4 linked regions of the Saccharomyces cerevisiae S288C genome follow. The gene in region 1 interacts genetically with each later gene. Each region holds a gene or a part of one and is shown on either strand. Other genes may lie near its edges.

Region 1 (5,654 bases):
TACAAGTTTTATATAATTTCAACGTCGGAGGTTATCCGGAAATCTATAGTTGAATTTTTGCAGGATTATACTTCGCTCGAATATTGTGCGTGTTAAATACTCAGCGAGAACAATACTTCCAAGTTAGAAAAGGGATTTGCTCATGTTAAAGCAATGGCACTCCGAATGGACGGTGTCAGGAATTCTTTTCTTCACATCAGGCTTCGCATAGAAAATGGCCATTGGCAAAAGGTTACTGGTGAACAAACCAGCAGAAGAATCATTTTATGCTTCTCCAATGTATGATTTTTTGTATCCGTTTAGGCCAGTGGGGAACCAATGGCTGCCAGAATATATTATCTTTGTATGTGCTGTAATACTGAGGTGCACAATTGGACTTGGTCCATATTCTGGGAAAGGCAGTCCACCGCTGTACGGCGATTTTGAGGCTCAGAGACATTGGATGGAAATTACGCAACATTTACCGCTTTCTAAGTGGTACTGGTATGATTTGCAATACTGGGGATTGGACTATCCACCATTAACAGCATTTCATTCGTACCTTCTGGGCCTAATTGGATCTTTTTTCAATCCATCTTGGTTTGCACTAGAAAAGTCACGTGGCTTTGAATCCCCCGATAATGGCCTGAAAACATATATGCGTTCTACTGTCATCATTAGCGACATATTGTTTTACTTTCCTGCAGTAATATACTTTACTAAGTGGCTTGGTAGATATCGAAACCAGTCGCCCATAGGACAATCTATTGCGGCATCAGCGATTTTGTTCCAACCTTCATTAATGCTCATTGACCATGGGCACTTTCAATATAATTCAGTCATGCTTGGCCTTACTGCTTATGCCATAAATAACTTATTAGATGAGTATTATGCTATGGCGGCCGTTTGTTTTGTCCTATCCATTTGTTTTAAACAAATGGCATTGTATTATGCACCGATTTTTTTTGCTTATCTATTAAGTCGATCATTGCTGTTCCCCAAATTTAACATAGCTAGATTGACGGTTATTGCGTTTGCAACACTCGCAACTTTTGCTATAATATTTGCGCCATTATATTTCTTGGGAGGAGGATTAAAGAATATTCACCAATGTATTCACAGGATATTCCCTTTTGCCAGGGGCATCTTCGAAGACAAGGTTGCTAACTTCTGGTGCGTTACGAACGTGTTTGTAAAATACAAGGAAAGATTCACTATACAACAACTCCAGCTATATTCATTGATTGCCACCGTGATTGGTTTCTTACCAGCCATGATAATGACATTACTTCATCCCAAAAAGCATCTTCTCCCATACGTGTTAATCGCATGTTCGATGTCCTTTTTTCTTTTTAGCTTTCAAGTACATGAGAAAACTATCCTCATCCCACTTTTGCCTATTACACTACTCTACTCCTCTACTGATTGGAATGTTCTATCTCTTGTAAGTTGGATAAACAATGTGGCTTTGTTTACGCTATGGCCTTTGTTGAAAAAGGACGGTCTTCATTTACAGTATGCCGTATCTTTCTTACTAAGCAATTGGCTGATTGGAAATTTCAGTTTTATTACACCAAGGTTCTTGCCAAAATCTTTAACTCCTGGCCCTTCTATCAGCAGCATCAATAGCGACTATAGAAGAAGAAGCTTACTGCCATATAATGTGGTTTGGAAAAGTTTTATCATAGGAACGTATATTGCTATGGGCTTTTATCATTTCTTAGATCAATTTGTAGCACCTCCATCGAAATATCCAGACTTGTGGGTGTTGTTGAACTGTGCTGTTGGGTTCATTTGCTTTAGCATATTTTGGCTATGGTCTTATTACAAGATATTCACTTCCGGTAGCAAATCCATGAAGGACTTGTAGTTACATTTTAACTTATATAACTGTACAATGTCAGTCAGACGCAACTGATATAAAAGATGTGCTCTACAAGTAAAGATTATTTCAACTCTTAAAAATATTTGAAAAATGCACTATAATTTGATCTAAATAAGGTACAGATAATGGTAAGGCAAAACTACTACATTTGGCAGTGAGTATTGTTAGCTTTTCCGCTTATTTTCTCTCCTGGAGTAGCCACCGTTCGCGTCTTCCGAGCAATGGCGAATCTCGAATCTCGGAAGGGCGGCTACTGATAACAGGCACTCATATATATATTATTAGATAAGAGTTTTTTTTGACTGAGTCCTTATAACACGTAACTTATCAAGTTGCTATATTGTAAGTTCAGGTTTCCAATCTGTTCAACCACTTTATATCTTTAAACATGAAATTCTCTACCATCTTACCTATACTTTGGGCAAATTGCTGTCTTTGTATGATCATCCCTGATTTCGACGGGATAGTTCGTTTTATTGAGAATATTGATGGTACTCGCAGTGTAAGAGCAGGAGAAGGTTTGGGACAGCATGATCCTGGAAATTTTCACACTGAACATCAACATGTCGCTCATAAAACAGAGTTTCTTCCTTATCGGTATGTCATAGTCTTTAATGAAGATATTTCCCTCCAGCAGATTCAATCGCATATGCAAGTGGTACAGAAGGATCATAGTACCTCAGTAGGTAAGCTTACAGAAAATGACGCTTTTTGGAGGGTAATTTCTTCTTCAGTATCATCTAAATCTCAATTTGGAGGTATTGATAATTTTTTTGACATAAATGGTCTATTTCGAGGTTATACTGGCTATTTCACTGATGAAATCATTAAAATAATCTCCCAGGACCCAATCATAAAGTTCGTAGAGCAAGAAACTACAGTAAAAATATCTAATTCGTCATTGCAGGAAGAAGCGCCTTGGGGTTTACATAGAGTTTCGCACAGGGAGAAACCAAAATATGGACAAGATTTGGAATATTTATATGAAGATGCCGCCGGAAAAGGTGTCACATCATATGTACTCGACACAGGAATTGATACCGAGCACGAGGACTTTGAAGGGCGTGCTGAGTGGGGAGCCGTTATACCAGCAAACGATGAAGCTTCTGATTTGAATGGTCATGGAACTCACTGTGCGGGGATTATCGGATCGAAGCACTTTGGTGTAGCCAAAAATACAAAAATAGTAGCTGTCAAAGTTCTTCGTTCTAATGGGGAAGGGACGGTTTCAGATGTTATTAAAGGTATAGAGTATGTTACTAAGGAGCATATAGAATCGTCGAAGAAAAAGAATAAAGAATTCAAAGGATCGACTGCCAATCTTTCTTTGGGAAGTAGCAAATCGCTAGCTATGGAAATGGCTGTAAATGCAGCTGTAGATAGCGGTGTCCATTTTGCTATTGCGGCAGGAAATGAGGATGAAGATGCTTGTCTCAGTTCACCAGCAGGAGCTGAAAAAAGTATTACGGTCGGTGCTTCGACATTTAGTGATGATAGAGCATTCTTTTCGAACTGGGGCACATGTGTTGATGTGTTTGCTCCCGGTATAAATATTATGTCCACCTATATTGGTTCAAGGAATGCAACTTTAAGTTTATCAGGTACTTCCATGGCGTCCCCGCACGTTGCTGGTATTTTAAGTTACTTTTTATCATTACAGCCTGCACCAGACAGTGAATTTTTCAACGACGCTCCCTCACCTCAAGAATTGAAAGAAAAAGTCCTAAAATTTAGTACACAGGGAGTACTGGGTGATATCGGTGATGATACTCCTAACAAATTAATATATAATGGGGGAGGTAAGAAATTGGATGGTTTTTGGTAGCTTTGATTTTGAATTTAGGAGCACCCAGGAGATTTTATTTTATTCTTTTCATACAGGTCAGCATAAGCCTAAGAAAGACGTTTGAAATCGCTAATCGGCTTTTTGTTCCTACGAGTAGGTTAAATTCTTTCAATAATATACATAATAAATTAGTAGTAAAGATAAACTTTTGTTCGCGATGCAGTTCTTTTGGTTGTGAATAGTTTTTTTACGAATTTATACTAGTCACTGCTAGATAAGGGTTAAGGAGGTAAATAAAATACGACAACCACTTTAAATAGGTTTCAAAACTATCCTTCAACAGATAAAAGGGTTTACCGTCAGAATCATTGAAATCTTTTAAAGGGTGTGAAACTATTTTTATCTTCCTCTGTCACCGTCCAAAGCAACCGAGCAATGCAGTGTTTTTCCTTTTAAAAACTACCTCAGATCATAGGTACAAGTTACAACTGAATGTCTACAATTGTGATCTCGGCTCGATAATGTATTCTATGTATGAGAGGCATCTTCTTGTTTTGATTATTTCTATCATTTACTAAGGAAAAAAAAAAAAATATACATGCGGTGCGATGCGATGATCTTCGGGAAGAAAAATTTTCAAGATGTCAATTAAACAATAGTATAATTATCGTGATGAGCAAGAAGGGAAGCAATCCAATAATAAAAACCAACTATTGTAAGCGCTCCCGATATACCTAACATGCGTCAAAAGAGGGCTAAGTCATATAGGAAACAACTTCTTGTTTACAGTCACACATTTAAGTTCCGTGAGCCATATCAAGTTTTGGTTGATAATCAGCTTGTTTTAGAATGTAATAATTCTAATTTTAATCTACCGAGTGGGTTGAAAAGAACGTTGCAAGCAGACGTAAAGGTCATGATCACACAGTGTTGCATACAAGCGTTATATGAAACTAGAAATGATGGTGCAATTAATTTAGCGAAACAATTTGAGAGACGTCGTTGTAACCACTCTTTTAAAGATCCAAAGTCACCTGCGGAGTGCATCGAAAGCGTCGTTAATATTAGCGGTGCAAATAAACACAGGTATGTGGTTGCTTCTCAGGACATAGATTTGAGGAGGAAGCTGAGGACGGTTCCGGGTGTTCCATTAATCCATTTAACCAGGTCTGTTATGGTTATGGAACCTCTCAGTACGGCGAGTGCCAAGGCAAGCAAGATTACTGAAGAACAAAAATTGTATAAGGGTCTCAATGATCCTAATATTGAAAAACTTCAAGAAAGTGGTGATGGATCAGGAAAGGAATCTATCACTAAGAAAAGAAAGCTTGGTCCAAAGGCTCCTAATCCTTTGAGCGTAAAGAAGAAGAAGAAAGTCAACTCGCCCAGCGATGAGGTGAAAGACAAAGAAGATACTTCTAAAGAAAAGAAAAAAAGAAGAAGAAGGAAACACAAAAGCAACACTAACGTCCCCGTTTCAAATGGGACCACAGCCGCGCAGTAAATTTTTTCCTTAAGTTAATTGACTGGCCAATCTTTTGAATATAATTGCGCATCTTCCACTCTTATTGATAAACGTTACGGAAGTATTTAATGTACATATGTAGGATAGTATTAAATAAACTTCAAAAAATTAAGCCTCCGCAAAACGCACCATCAGTAGTTGACTACGGGGAAGTCTTCTTCAGGCACTTGACAGTTTTCATTAATAGAATGATCCACCCATTCAGGGGCAACGACCCTGGCTATTTTCGGTATAGTATCAGAAGCCTTTATTTGTTCTTTTATTTTTTCGTGTACCTCATTCATGCAGTCTTTCCTCAAAATAGGATCAGTATATGGTATAATTATTAAGTTACAAAGTGACTGTTGATCTGTTATTTTTCCACCAAACAACTTAATTTTCATTTCTATAATGTCATCTTCTGTGCTAATTTTGCGACGTGGTACGTATGCAATCCTGTTGGAGAATAAAAATAATGGAAACCGCCGAACCTCAGAATC
Region 2 (8,147 bases), on another chromosome or scaffold:
TGCTAAACTCTGGCTCTTTTAATACTTGAATTTTGAAATTAAGTTTTCCCTGGATTTTTAACAGCTTAGACTCGAAATGGTATAAAGTGTGAGGCTTAAATTCAGACAAAATGCCGTGCGCAAAGAATAAATGTTTTAGGTAGTTTTCAGCTAGAATCCAATTATTCCCCTGGCAAAATCTGCACATCAATTCCTTTTTCTTTTCAGAGTATCGCATGTATTTATACATTATCAGAGAATCCAGACTGTTGGGGTTTGACTCTTCGGTATTGGATCTACTAGTATTGTATAGTGCCTGTACACATGCTGAGGGGGGACAATTTTGATTTCTTTTTATTTTATAACCAAATTCGGAGTATCTGTCTTTCATCCAGCCTCGGATACTGTGATGTTGGAAACACCTTGGAAGAAAAATCAGTTGCTTAGAAATACTTTTAAACACATGCTTACAATCAGTGTTGGCTTTACCAAAGTCAAAATTTTCGCTATCGTTGAATATTTTCCTTTGTGGGAATATTTTGTTCTTGATGGTTTTTCTTTTGAGTGATCCACTATTATTGGATACATTCGTGGTGTCCGTTAAAACCCTCGAAAGAGTGGATGTTGAAGAGTCAGGTCTTTTAGACTGTGTAAATTCAGCATTACTGTCTATCCAAAAATCCACACCATTTGTTTCTTCAATACGTTGTGCGGGAAAAAAGTAGCCATAGTCCATCTTAAGGCTTTTAAATAGCTAATATTAAATACTGTTAGGATAGCAAGAGTGGGTGATTTATTCGTTAGAAATATACGAGTCAATAAAGTCTAGTACCGAATTAATGTATTAGCGAACAAATTCTTGTGGTTTTTTATGAAATCATCACTACTTCAATGTGTTAAGGTGTATTTTCGAAACATTTTTCGGCGCTGCCAGTAAGACGTACGACCCTTTTTTTAGTGTCAGTAACTATAAAATTATGACGTCCGAGAATAGCGTAGAAATTAAAAAGGGTAACAATGATATCTAGCAGCTTTCAAAAAAGGGAAGGGCGGCACAGAACCTTACATTGGACAATGCTTTGCCTTCACTTATACGATATTTTGCATTTTTTTGCTATCAAGATTTGGTTAATACTGTATCGTGTAAATTGAGATCCCACCTCCAAAACTTGCTTTTGGACAAAGCGATATATTAAAATAACTTAAATATCCGCTTAACCAAGCTCTTGATCCAAACGATATCCGGCTATAGTCAATCACAATCCCTGAAGAACCATTTCCAAGACCATTATCTTTATACTTAATAAATATATAGATTTACAGGTTATTTGTATATCGCTAGCATTATTGCGTGCTATTTTCTAATAGTTACTGGAGGGTTATATAATTTAGGACTTTATAAAAACGAGCATTGTATGCACTTGCAGCAGTGTAGAACTTATCTGACGAAACATGTTTCTTACTTTGTTAACTGATATCATTAGTGATTTTCAATACCGTCTGAATATCCACTATAGCTGTCTTTAGCGCTACGAAGAGAGCACCGTAGAATGGTTCCAGACGGATTCTTGGCCAGTAAAGTACATTCATAAGTTAAACTCAATAGTTTTTCCTTTTGTTACGAAAAATTTCTCAAAATATTTTTTATTATTTTGTTCTTCTTGTGGGAAGAAGCGAAGCCTTTGGACAACTCCCCCAGTAGGCGAATTTGAGTTTATAAAAATTTACATTTAAAACTAATTAGAATTATAAAATTATAGCATCCTTGACAATAACTAATCCTTTCTGTTCGTTGGTAAAGGAAAAACTTAGAGGTGCGTAATTTATCAATTCATCAAATGCTGGAATTTTCCTAACAGCGGTACCATTTACAACCGATTCCGAATCATATTCTCCCCAATAACAGCTAATAGAAACAGACAGTTCGTCTTTTGTCCCCAACTTGTCATCCTCTACATTTCCATCCGTCAAAAGTTTTGGAAACCACTGGACTCCGATATGGTAAGTTTCCTGATCGAAATCAAGTTTATGCAATTGCAGTTCGTTTATGCCAGAAGCAGACTTGATCGTCTTCGTGATATTAGCTTTCTGTGGGGCCGAATTTTTCTTTTGATATACCGTGATTTCTCTGACAGGTGACTTCGCCTGATGTCTACTTTCAAAAGTTAAAGTGCAAGCCCTGTTCTCCTTCACCTCCAAAAGTAACTCTGCAACTATTGGTTCGTAAGGAGATCTCTCTGTTGAGTTTCGGTTATTATGTAAAACATGAACCTTGACCATACTGCTGATGTTCGTATTTCCATTCGTGCTCAATAAATTAGGTTGCATTCCATCATACATACAAAGTTCCATTCCATTGGTTACGGAAGTACAGTTAATATGTGTAGAGCTATATTTTATACTTGGTAAATCTTGCAGCATAGGTTTTAAAAAATTTCCTTCTCTTCCAAGGACATGTACACTGGCAGCGTTCCCTTGAGACAAATCAATATTTTGAGAAAACCTTACTTTTAATGGGTTACTATTGGTAAAGGGGTGCACTAGGAGCGTTTTGGATGCGGAAATCAAGAAAAGCAGTGCAGTTAAAGAAATTGTGATATAGTTGACCTTATAGAAAAAAGGTAAAATTGGTAGCGCGATCAAAATACTGCCCACCATTCCGAACCTGAGTACATCAAATGTAGCCTTACTTCCTTCCTGGACAGTATGGTTTAGTGCGTCCATGATAACATCCACACTGTTAAACAAAATAAATGATGGTATTGGTACAATTAGCAAAAATTGAATGATCCAGGCATAATCGGTATACTCAAGTTTTAGAGAATTTTCTCTAGTACTCAATCCTTCCTCCATGCTATTAGACCCCTTCAGTAATGGTACCCTTTCATCATGTTGTTGTGACGATGAATCCATACCATGATCCTCGTCAACATTATGTGATGGGCCAGCTGAAGTAGTTGACACATTATCATCTTGGATACTTGCTTGATCGTCTTGTGACGATGTAAGTTGATCTTGGGGTTGTTCCAAGTTTTCCTGACCGTCTCGTTCCATATCTATTTGAGAATGGGAGCTGTAATTGGAGTGATGGTCCCTACATTCTCTACCAAGCCTCTTCCTTGTTCTCATTCCCAACGCTAGTGCAAGTAGTCTCAATATAGCAGCTATTGTGCTCAGAAGAAAGAAAATCGAGAGAGGATAAAGCCCGGTATACCTATAGTCGGAACTATACAATAACTTCGACGTAAAAAGTAAAATGGTCCATAAAATAATGAACAATTCGATAATTGATAGGCTTTTCATATCGGCACAGGGGAAAAAAAAATTGGAGCAATTAATCAGAACATAACTGGTAAAAATTACTTGAGTGAAAAAAGCCGAGATAGGCCAAAAGTAGTTCCTTGAGAACGTCAAAGGATTGGAACGAATTATGTCGTTAGAGAAAAGCTTTTGGACAATAATACCAGCGGCTAATGAAAGAGGAAAGCGTGTCCACGATAGCCATGAATAAGATTTCCAAGTCATTCTATCACGAGAAATTAAATACAAGCCAATGGCCACAACGGGTGAAACTAATAGAAATATGCAGTTCCAATAGAAAAGCGTTTTAGCGCTTATAACGAAAAACTTCAAACCGATAAAATCAAAATAACAAGCCGGCGTTTGGTCAGCTGTATCCAATGAATTAGAAGCCACATATGCACTTAATTGTAAGGAAGTATGTAGCATATGCCATAAAGATGCCTTGGAGGTATATTGTATTGAATCCTTTATGGTATGATAAAGGTTTCTCGGTTTGTAGAATGCGACATCCCAGCCTCTCATGCCATTTTCTTCGTAAATCTTGTAGTCTGTCTCACTCCTGACATATCTGCTATAAAAACCTTGCTGGTAGATAGAGTTACCAAATGGATTTTCCTTAACAGACTGTTGGTATATTCTTGCTGTTGAAGTATCTGAAGTTCGGAACAGTACAGCTTTACCACCAGCACCAGTTCCCTCTAAATTTATCACATACTTGGTTAAATTAGACCATGAGTGATCAAAATAAGTTGATGCACCTAGTAGGCCAAACTCTTCATTATTATTAAAGTTGAAAATTAAAGTCCTGTTCGGTCTGTGCTTTATATGGTACTTGAGGTTCGCTAGTAAAGACACTACACCCATGCCGTCATCGGTAGCTCCATATCCTGTGGGTACAGAGTCGAAATGAGCTGAAAGAAGTAACCCTTCTTCCTCAGGATTTTTACCCTCAAGCTTAACTAATATATTAGAAGATTCAAAATATGTCACTCTCGAAAACCTAGATGACTCATTGAAAGGATCTTGTTGCTGAAATAATATGGATCTCTCGCTTTCTTTGTCATCTGAAACACTTGCAAACGAAGAATTCCCTGTAATTTCAAGAACCCTTTTGAGCAAGTAATCATGTACTTTATCATTTTCTTTGGACGTGTACGGATGAAAAGAGGCCGTGATAATCTGTAAGTCCCCCCATGCTGTTTCTAATAAGTCATTGAATTCAGGGTGCTCATCCTCTTTTGGTAGATTGAGTTTATAACGTTCATGATCAAAGATATAGAGTAACGTAATAATCGAATAGGTGATTAATAGAAGCAAACTCAAATTTGTTTTCCGGTACTTTAGAACTGATCTGAATACACTTTTTAATTTCATGCCGTGATTCTTTAACTTTACCTATCAATTTATTTCCTTGTAGATAATTTTTCACATTATTTTTTTTTTTTTTTTTTTGGGACTAAAGGCTATTCAAATCTTTCAGATGTTTGATTTGCGCCCGCAGCGTATCGTTATCAAATTAGTGAAAACGTGGATATCAACTTGAATCAGCAATAGGCCCTACTTAATATGTGACTTGAACCTGAATGAGTCGTGCAAGAATAAACCTATTAAATACAATCAGTGATTAAATAATAGCTATTTTATTTAGTATATAAGTGTCCATATTTGGCGTCATTGTTCTCTGAGACATATCTCGCCGGGCTTTACAAACGCAAAGGTAATACTATCTTTCAATTCGGTGAACGAATCTGTGATAACCTCATCAAATAATTCATCTTGTCTTGCTGGATCGATATGCTTATAATGAACGAGACATTGCCTAATGTATTGTGACTTTTTGGCATCATCGTTGGTGGCTGCTTCATTCATTTTCTTTTGTAAATCCAGCGCACTTGTCCATGTCGTAGTGCTACGCTTTCTCAGCTCTACGGTGTTCTGCTGTTGATTTGTTTCAGGATATTCAATTTCCTCACCTAAACCATCGCAAGAACAAATTAAGTCATGTGTGTTACTCTTGGTATCTGTATGGACAGAAAACAGGTCCTTCAAGTCCTCTTTATTGAAAAGATCATCATTAGAAGATTCTTTATTTCTCATCTCCGAGTCACCTAGAAATTTTTGGCTCAAACTGTTCTTCATTAATTGCCTTTGCAATATTTTCTCATCGATACACCCAGTTGTGACAAGTCTATATATGAAGCACGGCTTTTTTTGACCATCTCTATGAATTCGTGACATCGCTTGCAAATCTACTGAAGGATTCCAATCATTATCAAATAAAATAAGTCGCGAAGCACCGACTAGATTCAATCCTACACCTCCCGATTTTGCACTCAACAAGAATCCAAATATGGCTGGATTCCGATTGAAAGATGTGACGATAGAGTCCCTTTGTTTAGCAGGTATGGAACCGTCGAGTCTGCAATGTGACATCCCAGCCATATTCATCAAATTTTCAATTATATCCAATGTTTGAGTGTAGTTAGACACTACGACGACCTTCTCCTTGGTACCCTTCCTAATACCTTCTAGTAATGTCATTAATACCTTTAACTTACCAGAGTTCAAAGAACGACTATAGCTGTCCTGAGATTGGGTATCCTTTATATGTGATTTGTAATAGGGATCTGAGCCAACCAATCCAGGAGAGTTACAAACCTTTTTCAGTAATGTTATTAGTCCTAGCGAAGAACTGAACGTCAATTGTCCAAAATCTAAACGTGCGCCCTGCAAAATATCTTTGAATGCCAATATCTGTTGGCTGTATGGTTTACAGAATAAAATTATATCCGTCTTTGGAGGAAGGTACTTTTCTAAAATCGCATTTGTTCGTCTCAAAATAAATCTTTTCGTAATTTCTATCATCTCTTTTGACCTTTCTTCCCCCTTTTCCAACAATTCTTCGTTGTATCTGTTTGCAGTGTCTCTGGCTCTAGTTATAGGGATAATGAATCTTCTTTTGAAAGAAGCGAAGCTTCCAAGGATTCCTGGGTTTATGAAATCTATAATAGTGAAAAACTCATTAAGATCATTTTGTATAGGAGTTCCCGTAAGCAAAAGCTTCCTTCTTATGTCTAAACTCTTCAGCGTATTTAAAATTTTAGAAGCCCCGTTTTTTAGTCGATGGCCTTCGTCACACACCAGCATGTCAATCAAATGTTTATTTTTCTCTAATTCTTCAGAAACACTCAAGAGTTTTTCGTAGCCAATAATCAAGACTTGATAAGTTCGTTGCACTTTTAAAAAATTTCTGACAGCCATTTTATCCATATCAGGAGAATTCCTTGAGCTTAATGTCAAAACACCTATTCTTGACAAATTTAACCATTTTCCAAATTCTCTTTTCCAATTTCCTATTAAAGTAACGGGACAAACGACTAAAATCTTCTTACAAAGTCCAGTTAATGGTATGCCTGATTGCGAACATGAAACTTTTGATGCAAAAGGAGTTTGCCTAATTAATGTCCAAATCAAAGTTATACTCATTAGTGTTTTACCTAAACCCATATCATCAGCCAAAAGGCATCCACTAATATCTGAGTCATTTTCTAACACTAAACTTTTAGTAGTACAATCGATATCCGGATTTTCAATAGTTGGTCTTGCCAAGCCCATTAAGCAATCATACATGAACTTCACCCCTTCCCTCTGATGAGGGCGCAAGAATTTGCCCAGTAATGGATCAACAATTACGTCAACTTCAGCGGCTGCATTTTTGTTCATTACTATAGGATTATCGATTTTGTTGACATCAAATACTGGATAATATTTTTTGGCTTTGGAATTTTGACTGGTTTTAGGTACTGTGGTCATGTGTTCATTTGTTTGCTTTGTTACTGATTTGAATCTTTTCACAGTGTTTAGTGAAAACAGCTGAGACAGAGGCATTTGGTATTTGCCACCGTCATTCTTCGTAGAAGGCACTGTTTCTGTTGTGCTTGTGGTCGGTGGGCTGGGATTTCCCATGTTTTGTGATAAGGCTTCTTTGGCGCTACGTATTTCTGCATTTTCCTTCAATTCGTAATCCAATTGTACTTCATTGGAGCCTGCTTTGAAAAGAGTTTCGAAGAGAGAATCTGAATCACTTGGTAGCATACTTGACCCAAGAAATTTCCCTGCTTCGTTATAAAAGCATAACTTATCGCTACTGGCTTTTAAGGTAGCGTAGCCATCACCACTCCAAGTCTTGTGCTTTTTGGTAGTAGGCTTCCTGTACATGATAGTAAAATATCTAGTGTTTTCATTTGAGGACAGATTATTCGGCTTCTTGGCAAGATTTAAAGTAGGTCCCGCCGAAATGCTTCTTTTCAAGTTGACAGTAACTTTGGCTTTAGATATAGGGGCTGTTGTGACTGCAGTGGCGGTTGGTTTGAGTTGTGTGTACTTATTTGATCCAACCCTTCTTGGAGGCTTGAATGGCTTGTTCTCATATTTCGGTATCTGCATTTGAGTAGTACCGGAATCAAATACCGTTTGATATACCGAGCTGTTTTTTACCTCCTGTAGGATCTTCTCTCTTCGTCGAGGTTTAACGCTTATTACCGCCATTTCAATACAAAAACTCGATTCTAATCGGTTATTTATAGTAGGTTTTCTTTTTTTTTTTTAGCTCTTCGCGTTTTATTTTTTATTTTCTTGATGCATATATTAACGCGATCGAGTAAAAATGCCTTTCCCAGAAGTAGAAGTAGGCAAGACATCCATATTTCAAGCCACATCCATAGAGATACCTCCAACAGCGCGTTGTTGAAGATTTTGGTAATTACAAGAACGAGGTTAGATTCCTTCGTTAAAACTTAGTCAAAAATAACGGTCATATATCGAAGCCAAAGCAAGTTTTTATAACTATTTATTCATCAACTCAT
Region 3 (3,498 bases), on another chromosome or scaffold:
GCTTTTAAGTATATCCATTTCATGGGTTAGATAATGAGCCACGGTACGTGCATATTTATCTGTTTTATTGATATAAGAAACCAGCTCCTCTTCAGTACAATTGAACAGCATGATCTTTATGAGAACTTTCGCGGCTTCTAAATTTCCTGCTTTTATCGATTCTATAAGCAGCGTAGAACCATCAATCGTTTCGTCCTCTAAAAGGTCTTCTACTGGAAAGTCGTTTTCATATTCAGAAAGAATATCTAATAAGATGTAGTTTTTATGATTTGTTATACATATGGATAGAATGGATTGTCCTTGCTCATTTCTGTAGGTCAAAATATCCTTGTATGTTGCCAGATCTTCTACTTCATTTGTGGGGTTTTCACATGACAACTTATCTAATAAATTCTTAGTTTTTTCACATAATGTGTTAGCTTTCGCCACGTTGCCTGTATTTTTGTTGAAGTCTTCGAAATAACAAACCACTGCTTCCAGTGTGGATACAGCATACCCTAGAATGCCGAATTTTGTAGAAGAAGAGTTATTCGAAAAATTTTGCAAATAGTAAAGATGACTTTTAAGGTGCTTTTGTTCACTTCTGCAAACAACGAGCACAAAAAGGCTAATTAAAGTGTCTGCATCCATCGTCATGTTATTCAATCCGTCTGGTAGTTCTAGTTGATGTGAATCCATTTCGGTAGTACCTGATAATTTCTGTAGAGTTTCAACTAATATTTTAGATTTTTCAGCGTATGAATGGGTCAAAGCCAACTTTTGAAGATGTTTGGACGCTAGATGGAGACGCCTTTCAATAAGAGTGATGTCGTGTAATTTAAATTCCCCATAATCTTTTGAGTAAAAATCTGTCAACAACTGGTTCACTGAAAAATATTTATTTTTTCAGTGTCTACTTCGTGGCCTTTGAAATGTGTAGTAAGCCTAGACCATATATCATCGTAAAGATTTAGTTCAAAATAGTCGTGTATAAGATCGTAAAGATTAGAAAAGTTCTTGAAAAGTGAATCCGATTTCATTCCATCAAATGCTTGTTGCACGATGCTTTCAAAAATACTTCTAGATGGATCATCACCAGGAGCGAGCGTTCTGTAACTCGAAAACAATTGGCCAAGCTGTGTTAATCGAGCAGGATGAATGTGCAATATATTCTCGAATGACGATCTTTCTTGCTGAAAAGAATCTATCGACAGATTTGGCATAGCATGTGCATTTTTTGGTATTTTCTCATAATTGTGAAAACACTGTAAGTAGTCGTTAGGTACAAATTCGCAATTTAAAGGTTGATCTATGAATAGTATGATAAAATCAGCCGCCCCTTCAAAGTAGTCATTAAAATTGGGTAATATTTTTGTCTCTAGAATCTTTAGTCTTCGCCTTATATGAAATCCATTTAAGGCATGGATCACATTATTCTTCCATTGAATAACAACGGTCTTACCATCTAACGTTTCATAATGACTGTCCCTTGAATTCGTATTTATGTAAGAGTTTTCAGTCATTAACAATATGTAAGAGTTAATAAACTCTGCATTATAACAGAGGTCATGTAACGGCAGTTTGCTCTTGACATCGTGGTAATTCAAAAGGTATTCTGAAGGAGGTGCTAGGAGGATAAACCTACGGGTTTTTAAATTAGCGAAAAGCTTTTTCAATGGGGATCTTTCTGGTTCGGGACAGTTAAATATAGCATTAACCAGCGGGTTCAACAGCGTTGGTAAATGGTAAACTGACATTGTCAACCCTAGCTAAGCCATAGCTTTTCCGTTGAGGAATTTACAATAAGGTGGTTCCTTTAGTTATAAATTGCAACTGCCAAAATTTTCGGGTAGCGGCAAAATTAAACGAAAACCTTCTGTCATATTAAACATAGTTTAGTGACGCAATGCACACACACTCATATATATGTATATATTTATCTATATCATAGGTGTAAGGCAAAGTTATCACGTGAATATACTGTTTAGTATACAAGTACGTTGATTTAACGGCTGAGAGATTCTCAAACAAAGTAACGCTTAGTTTAGCTAAAGTAGAATCGAAGCGCAGTGAAGGCAAGACGAGTTATCCCTTTATCACAAAATATAAAAAATAGGTAAAGAGGGGGGTGGGGGTGGTTCGGACTTTGCATCTCGGTGCATTAGTACCACTCAGCTTCAGTTATAGGAATACTGACAATGTTCTTGAGCCAGGGAGAACTGAAATTTCCATACCCTTTAACCCTTTATTCTTGAGCATATGATCTTATTTTTCCACTCAGCACAAAATACACATCCCGCATATGATCTGGACACTGAATAAACAAGGGGCTTTACGATGGAGTAGTAGACCTGGATACGTAGTCACCACAGGGATCCTAAACTGCGTCATAGTAAGTTTCTTTGATACTAGAATGTCCCTCTCTCGTAGTAGTTGATATCCCGTATTTCTAGTTAGTGACGTTTATAAATAGGGAGAAAAAAAATCGGAATAACATTTCCATGCCTTTTTTTTGACACTTCAGACCAGATACGCCACCAGCTACAAACTAACAATGTCCACTGATAGTACACGCTATCCAATTCAGATTGAGAAAGCCTCGAATGATCCAACCCTTCTGCTTAATCACACATGTTTAAGAGTCAAGGATCCAGCAAGGACCGTTAAGTTCTACACCGAACACTTCGGTATGAAGCTATTAAGCAGAAAGGATTTTGAAGAAGCAAAATTTAGCTTGTACTTTTTAAGCTTTCCAAAAGACGACATACCCAAAAATAAGAATGGAGAGCCTGATGTTTTTAGCGCACACGGTGTCTTAGAACTAACTCACAATTGGGGTACTGAAAAAAACCCAGACTACAAGATCAACAACGGGAATGAGGAACCTCATCGTGGATTTGGGCACATCTGTTTTTCTGTATCCGATATCAATAAAACCTGCGAAGAGCTAGAATCTCAGGGTGTCAAATTCAAGAAGAGACTCTCTGAAGGAAGACAGAAGGACATTGCGTTTGCTTTAGGCCCTGATGGATACTGGATTGAGTTGATCACATATTCTAGAGAGGGTCAGGAATACCCAAAGGGCTCAGTAGGTAACAAGTTCAATCATACCATGATTCGTATTAAAAACCCAACCCGGTCTTTAGAATTCTACCAGAATGTGTTGGGCATGAAATTATTAAGAACTAGTGAGCACGAAAGTGCAAAATTTACGTTATACTTTCTTGGTTATGGCGTTCCAAAGACCGACAGCGTTTTTTCATGTGAAAGTGTGTTGGAGTTAACTCATAATTGGGGAACTGAGAATGATCCAAACTTCCACTATCATAACGGTAACTCAGAGCCCCAGGGTTATGGTCACATCTGCATAAGTTGTGATGACGCTGGCGCCCTTTGTAAAGAAATTGAAGTGAAATACGGCGATAAGATCCAATGGTCTCCTAAATTTAACCAAGGCAGAATGAAGAATATTGCCTTTTTGAAGGATCCTGATGGTTATTCCATTGAAGTCGTTCCTCA
Region 4 (6,208 bases), on another chromosome or scaffold:
TGAAAAAATGGATTATGTGGAAAAAATCATCAGAGTTTTGGGAATGGAAGAGTATGCGGAAGCCCTTGTTGGTGAGGTTGGTTGTGGTTTAAACGTTGAACAGAGAAAGAAGCTGTCTATTGGTGTTGAACTAGTCGCCAAACCAGACTTATTATTATTCCTCGATGAACCTACATCAGGTTTGGATTCTCAATCTTCATGGGCCATTATTCAATTATTAAGAAAGTTATCAAAAGCTGGCCAATCCATTCTTTGTACGATCCATCAACCTTCAGCTACTCTGTTCGAAGAGTTTGATAGATTACTACTTTTGAGGAAGGGTGGACAAACTGTTTATTTCGGAGATATTGGTAAGAACTCTGCCACCATTTTGAACTACTTTGAAAGGAATGGGGCAAGAAAATGTGATTCTAGTGAAAATCCTGCTGAATATATTTTAGAGGCTATTGGTGCCGGTGCCACAGCATCCGTCAAAGAAGACTGGCACGAAAAATGGTTGAACTCTGTCGAGTTTGAACAAACAAAAGAAAAAGTACAGGATTTAATAAATGATTTATCGAAACAAGAAACTAAATCCGAAGTTGGAGACAAACCTTCCAAATATGCTACTTCTTATGCTTACCAGTTCAGATATGTTTTAATCAGAACCTCTACTTCATTTTGGAGAAGTCTGAATTACATCATGTCAAAGATGATGCTAATGCTGGTTGGTGGTCTGTATATTGGTTTCACATTTTTCAATGTTGGTAAAAGTTATGTCGGCTTACAAAATGCGATGTTCGCGGCATTTATCTCTATTATCTTGTCTGCTCCTGCAATGAACCAAATCCAAGGACGTGCTATTGCCTCCAGAGAACTTTTTGAAGTTAGGGAATCCCAATCTAACATGTTTCACTGGTCGCTGGTGTTGATCACTCAGTACTTGAGCGAACTTCCCTATCATTTATTTTTTTCGACAATTTTCTTTGTCTCATCGTATTTTCCATTAAGAATCTTCTTCGAAGCGTCAAGATCTGCGGTGTACTTTTTGAATTACTGCATTATGTTCCAGTTATACTATGTTGGTCTTGGCTTAATGATCCTATATATGTCACCGAACCTTCCATCCGCTAATGTTATCTTAGGTTTGTGTCTGTCATTTATGCTTTCTTTCTGTGGTGTTACACAACCTGTCTCATTGATGCCTGGCTTCTGGACATTCATGTGGAAGGCTTCCCCATACACATATTTTGTTCAGAATCTGGTCGGAATTATGCTGCACAAAAAACCAGTCGTATGCAAAAAGAAAGAACTAAACTACTTCAACCCACCAAACGGCTCAACGTGTGGAGAGTACATGAAACCCTTTTTGGAAAAAGCTACTGGTTACATCGAAAATCCTGATGCTACGTCAGATTGTGCATACTGTATTTACGAAGTTGGAGATAATTATTTGACACATATCAGCTCTAAGTATAGCTACTTGTGGAGAAATTTTGGAATATTTTGGATTTACATTTTCTTCAATATCATTGCTATGGTTTGTGTGTATTACCTCTTCCATGTAAGACAATCTTCCTTCCTAAGCCCCGTATCTATACTCAATAAAATTAAAAACATAAGGAAAAAGAAGCAGTAATGTGGGCTTCAGATAACTTAACATTTTGTGCATTCATCTGCCTTTAATTCTTAATTCTCATTTTACACTATAGAAGAAGACACGAGTACATCTCGTTTCACTTTTATACTGACATTCATATAATTAACAATAAGTATAGTTTATAATAGATACAAAAAAAAAGTCTTGTATTACCATGTTAATAGTTACATTGTGTATAACTCTCGTAGTTTTCAAAAGTCAAGTCTTGTTGAGTAAAAAAGTTTATTTTACCCTTGGGTTTCGACTCAAAATATTGGATTACGATCTAAGCAAGGTGTTGCAAGTACAAGCTAAACGAAAAGAATAAGACAAAAAAACTGAGGCTCCTCAAACTGGTCACCAAAATTGAACTTCAAATTTAGTGTTTCTACATTTTTTCTATTTTGTTTCATTTTTATATCCCTTTCATATGATTAACAAAACTTGGTAAATTATCTGGCCTGTCAACCCTTACCTGTCCTGTCCCTTCTTTAGACAAAAGAAAATAAAAAAATTGGACACAGGAAAACAACAGCCTCCATACCACAGTTTCTGTGTCTTATTCTATTTAGGAAGGTCATTCTATATTACTCAAAGGAAAGACATCCAGTAGAAACAATAGTGTTGCTAAACGGTTAACTTGCCCACTAATGTCTGCTTATATTTGCAAATCACTATTGTGGCAAGTCATACCCTGGAGCTTTGTGATTGAACAACATATACTATATTGCAGCAGTATTTTTCAGAAATAATATTCGAAAGAAGTGAGAACAAGAAATGACCACGATAGATTACAGCTGACCAACTTAGAAAATGAGTAAACTTATTTTTGTCTTAAGAAGTGCATGCAGCGACCTCTCCCAATTACCAAATTGTAATTTTTTATTATTCTTTTTTTCTGCATAGTTCATTCGACAGCTTGGTTGAAAAGAGTGATAAAAATTTTCTGTTTTATGAAAAGTTTTCATAACTCTATTAAGGGTTGCACTATAAGAACATTTCGCAATAAAGCAACCCTTATCCGGACCCTACATGTTCCGTAAGTCCTGCCTTATTTATCGTAACGGTATTCATCTTACAGGAATTTTTGAATATAGATAACGTTAGTTTTGATAGATTGGAACAAATGGGAAAATAACAATTTAGAAGCGCTTTCCTCAGCGTATCTGAATTATAAAACAACTGCGCATATTGCTAAGAACTGCACTGAAGGCATGAATTGTCTATTCCGTTAGAAATATAATTATTTACGAAAGCATCGCGCAGACGCAATTTTTTTAACATTTTTTTTTTTTCAAGTACTCTGGAAAAGTTTTCATGAAGATCATGAATACGTTACACTACTATTATTATTGAAAATAATATTTCTTTCCTATCAGCAATCGCTTACATATTCATAGTCATTTACTAGGGTATATACCAATAATAATGTCCCGTCCACAAGTTACTGTTCACTCTTTGACTGGTGAAGCTACTGCCAATGCCTTGCCATTGCCAGCTGTCTTCTCCGCTCCTATCCGTCCTGACATTGTCCACACTGTTTTCACCTCTGTGAACAAGAACAAGAGACAAGCTTACGCTGTTTCTGAAAAGGCTGGTCACCAAACCTCCGCTGAATCCTGGGGTACCGGTCGTGCCGTCGCTCGTATTCCAAGAGTTGGTGGTGGTGGTACCGGTAGATCCGGTCAAGGTGCCTTCGGTAACATGTGTCGTGGTGGTCGTATGTTTGCTCCAACTAAGACCTGGAGAAAGTGGAACGTTAAGGTTAACCACAACGAAAAGCGTTACGCCACTGCTTCTGCTATTGCTGCTACTGCTGTTGCTTCTTTGGTCTTGGCCAGAGGTCACAGAGTCGAAAAGATTCCAGAAATCCCATTGGTTGTCTCCACTGACTTGGAATCTATTCAAAAGACCAAGGAAGCTGTTGCTGCTTTGAAGGCTGTTGGTGCTCACTCCGACTTGTTGAAGGTCTTGAAGTCCAAGAAATTGAGAGCCGGTAAGGGTAAGTACAGAAACAGAAGATGGACTCAAAGAAGAGGTCCATTAGTTGTCTACGCTGAAGACAACGGTATCGTCAAGGCCTTGAGAAACGTTCCAGGTGTTGAAACTGCCAACGTTGCTTCTTTGAACTTGTTGCAATTGGCTCCAGGTGCTCACTTGGGTAGATTCGTTATCTGGACCGAAGCTGCTTTCACCAAGTTGGACCAAGTCTGGGGTTCCGAAACCGTTGCCTCCTCCAAGGTCGGTTACACTTTGCCATCCCACATCATCTCCACTTCTGATGTCACCAGAATTATCAACTCTTCTGAAATCCAATCTGCTATCAGACCAGCTGGCCAAGCTACTCAAAAGCGTACTCACGTTTTGAAGAAGAACCCATTGAAGAACAAGCAAGTTTTGTTGAGATTGAACCCTTACGCCAAGGTCTTTGCTGCTGAAAAGCTAGGTTCCAAGAAGGCTGAAAAGACTGGTACCAAGCCAGCTGCTGTTTTCGCCGAAACCTTGAAGCATGACTAGAATTTATAGTATAGATCTTTAACTTTAATTTAAATATCTTTGTTACTAGTCTTTAATCAAACCTTTTTGTTTTCTTTAAAGTCGAAACGTCAGATTTGCTCAAAACCTTCTTGTCGTTACAACGCGAAAATTGTAATTTAAAATAACTAACGAAGAAAGCTGAAAAATAGATGTGAGGGAAAATCGTTTATAAACGGCCATGCTCACAGAGAATCATGTATGGAGATTTAGGTAATAAATTAGTATTAGAAGCTAAAAGAACAAAACAGCTGTACGCAAGAAGTAATCAAGATGTTAATTTACCCATGTATCATGAAGATATAATACGAAATATTCTGAAAGAAGTTTCAAATTTACGTAAAAATACGGAATATCTTAAAGAACAGCAGCAACTAGGAATGCTAGATGATAAGGTGGCTAAATGCCAGTATTTCGTTACCTTGTTATGTATGGAAAGGAACAAGAGATGTCTCTTAGCATACCAAAGGTTGAGAACAGACATACTAGATTCTATGGCTTGGAATAATAATGGTCTGGACTTGATGAGTAGCATTACGTTTAGCCAACAAGACACAAATAACCTTTCTCATCAAGAGCAGGAATATTTGAAAGAATACTGCGATTTAATTACTGATTTAAAAAGTGGTGACTTGGTCGATATTGATTTATCCGGCTCTTTAGTGCCTCCGAGCGATGTATTTATTGATGTTAGAGTGCTCAAAGATGCTGGTGAGATTCAAACTGAATACGGCGTGTTTAACCTTATTAAAGACTCCCAGTTTTTCGTAAGGCAGTCTGATGTAGAGCGTTTGATTCAACAAGGTTATTTGCAGAAGATATGATAAAATGCTTTCAAGCTGGTCTTCATGATATATAATCCTTTATAAAGCAAGATACATACCTCCATTCTAATTTACTCCCTTCTATGTTTACTTCAGCCCTTTTTAATAGATTTCGTAAGTTTTGGTTGAGGAGGCTTTCTGAGCTTTACGCGACTTTATTGATGACGAAGCTTCACTTTATTATAATAATGAAAAACTGCGCAGAGAAACTATCGCAAAACGAAACCATCTTCTTACCCTAAAGCATCCTGTTTCTGAAAAAATGAGAGCATATGGAAAGAGGGGCCCAGTTCTCAGAACTCCTTTTAGATCTAATAAAGGCTTGCCATCTTCTTCCGATGTTGAATTTAGTGATGACGATGTAAACTCCGTGATTCCTGATGTAAGTTCTACCATTTCGAGCAGTATTGCAGACCACCCGATAGAGGGATTATTGGACGAGCCTAGAAAGGCTCAGGACAGCTCGTCGTCATTTGATGGTGCAAATGAGAAGCCCTCTTCACAACTGGACTCAAAAAGGAATGACCAAAACGTCAAAATTATCACTAGCAGTGATACCTCAATGGCATTTATGAAAGATGAAAAGTTAAGTGCCTTTAATTTCCTTGATGGTTCAAAGGCATCTAAGAGAAAAAGAAGAAGAACTTACCAAAAGCATGATGCGAACATAACGTCTTCAATTGAACCAGACGTACAAGATGAAGACAGCATTACAATGCACAATGAATTTGAATCAATAAGGAAAATATACAATGACATCAATGAATTCATATTGAAGCTACCGAGAGCTGACGATGATATACTGAATAAAATGCTTGAAAATGAGATGAAGATGGACGACTCTATAGAGAATAATAGCATACGCACATCCAAAGACAAAAAATATGGCAAATTTAGAACAATATTAATAAACAAAAATAAAGAAAATGAAATAATGGGAGAAGAGGTAGATCAGAAAGCTAACACCTTGTCCCTAAATAACGCTGACAACAGTAATGCTGAAAAAGAAGGATTAACTTCAACAAATCACTACAACGAATTAAAAAATATGGGAGATACAATAAAATACCAGGATGATATTGAGTTTCTTCTGTCCAATTCTAAAAGTAATGACAATACTACGGTACCAATCAATGAATACTTTAAAAAACTTTTAAATTTATCCCTAATGATTATTAATGACGAAGAATTTTTTCAATATGCGAAAAGATATTTCAAAAAGGAAATAATT

Evidence for each region.
Region 2: mutations in UTP23 (region 1) and PFF1 together harm fitness more than expected from each alone (negative genetic interaction), as found in Saccharomyces cerevisiae (one large-scale study listed by BioGRID).
Region 3: mutations in UTP23 (region 1) and YML003W together harm fitness less than expected from each alone (positive genetic interaction), as found in Saccharomyces cerevisiae (one large-scale study listed by BioGRID).
Region 4: mutations in UTP23 (region 1) and RPL4B together harm fitness more than expected from each alone (negative genetic interaction), as found in Saccharomyces cerevisiae (one large-scale study listed by BioGRID).

What each region holds. Positions count from the first base shown.
Region 1 is NC_001147.6:329,203-334,856, forward strand, and holds UTP23 (rRNA-binding ribosome biosynthesis protein UTP23), read left to right. Parts: upstream 1-4,389; coding exon 4,390-5,154; downstream 5,155-5,654. Other genes in the region: ALG6 (dolichyl-P-Glc:Man(9)GlcNAc(2)-PP-dolichol alpha-1,3-glucosyltransferase), read left to right, coding at 215-1,849; putative subtilisin-like protease YSP3, read left to right, coding at 2,253-3,689; DNA ligase (ATP) DNL4, read right to left, coding at 5,307-5,654. UniProt on the Saccharomyces cerevisiae protein: Involved in rRNA-processing and ribosome biogenesis.
Region 2 is NC_001134.8:382,795-390,941, reverse strand, and holds PFF1 (Pff1p), read right to left. Parts: upstream 4,657-8,147; coding exon 1,726-4,656; downstream 1-1,725. Other genes in the region: ECM8 (Ecm8p), read right to left, coding at 1-715; DNA-dependent ATPase RDH54, read right to left, coding at 4,954-7,830; YBR072C-A (uncharacterized protein), read left to right, coding at 7,921-8,082. UniProt on the Saccharomyces cerevisiae protein: May be involved in vacuolar sorting and osmoregulation.
Region 3 is NC_001145.3:261,721-265,218, reverse strand, and holds YML003W (uncharacterized protein), read right to left. Parts: upstream 1,737-3,498; coding exon 864-1,736; downstream 1-863. Other genes in the region: VRL1 (Vrl1p), read right to left, coding at 1-678; lactoylglutathione lyase GLO1, read left to right, coding at 2,534-3,498.
Region 4 is NC_001136.10:468,807-475,014, forward strand, and holds RPL4B (60S ribosomal protein uL4 RPL4B), read left to right. Parts: upstream 1-3,046; coding exon 3,047-4,135; downstream 4,136-6,208. Other genes in the region: ATP-binding cassette transporter SNQ2, read left to right, coding at 1-1,618; DNA replication protein PSF1, read left to right, coding at 4,351-4,977; RAD61 (Rad61p), read left to right, coding at 5,240-6,208.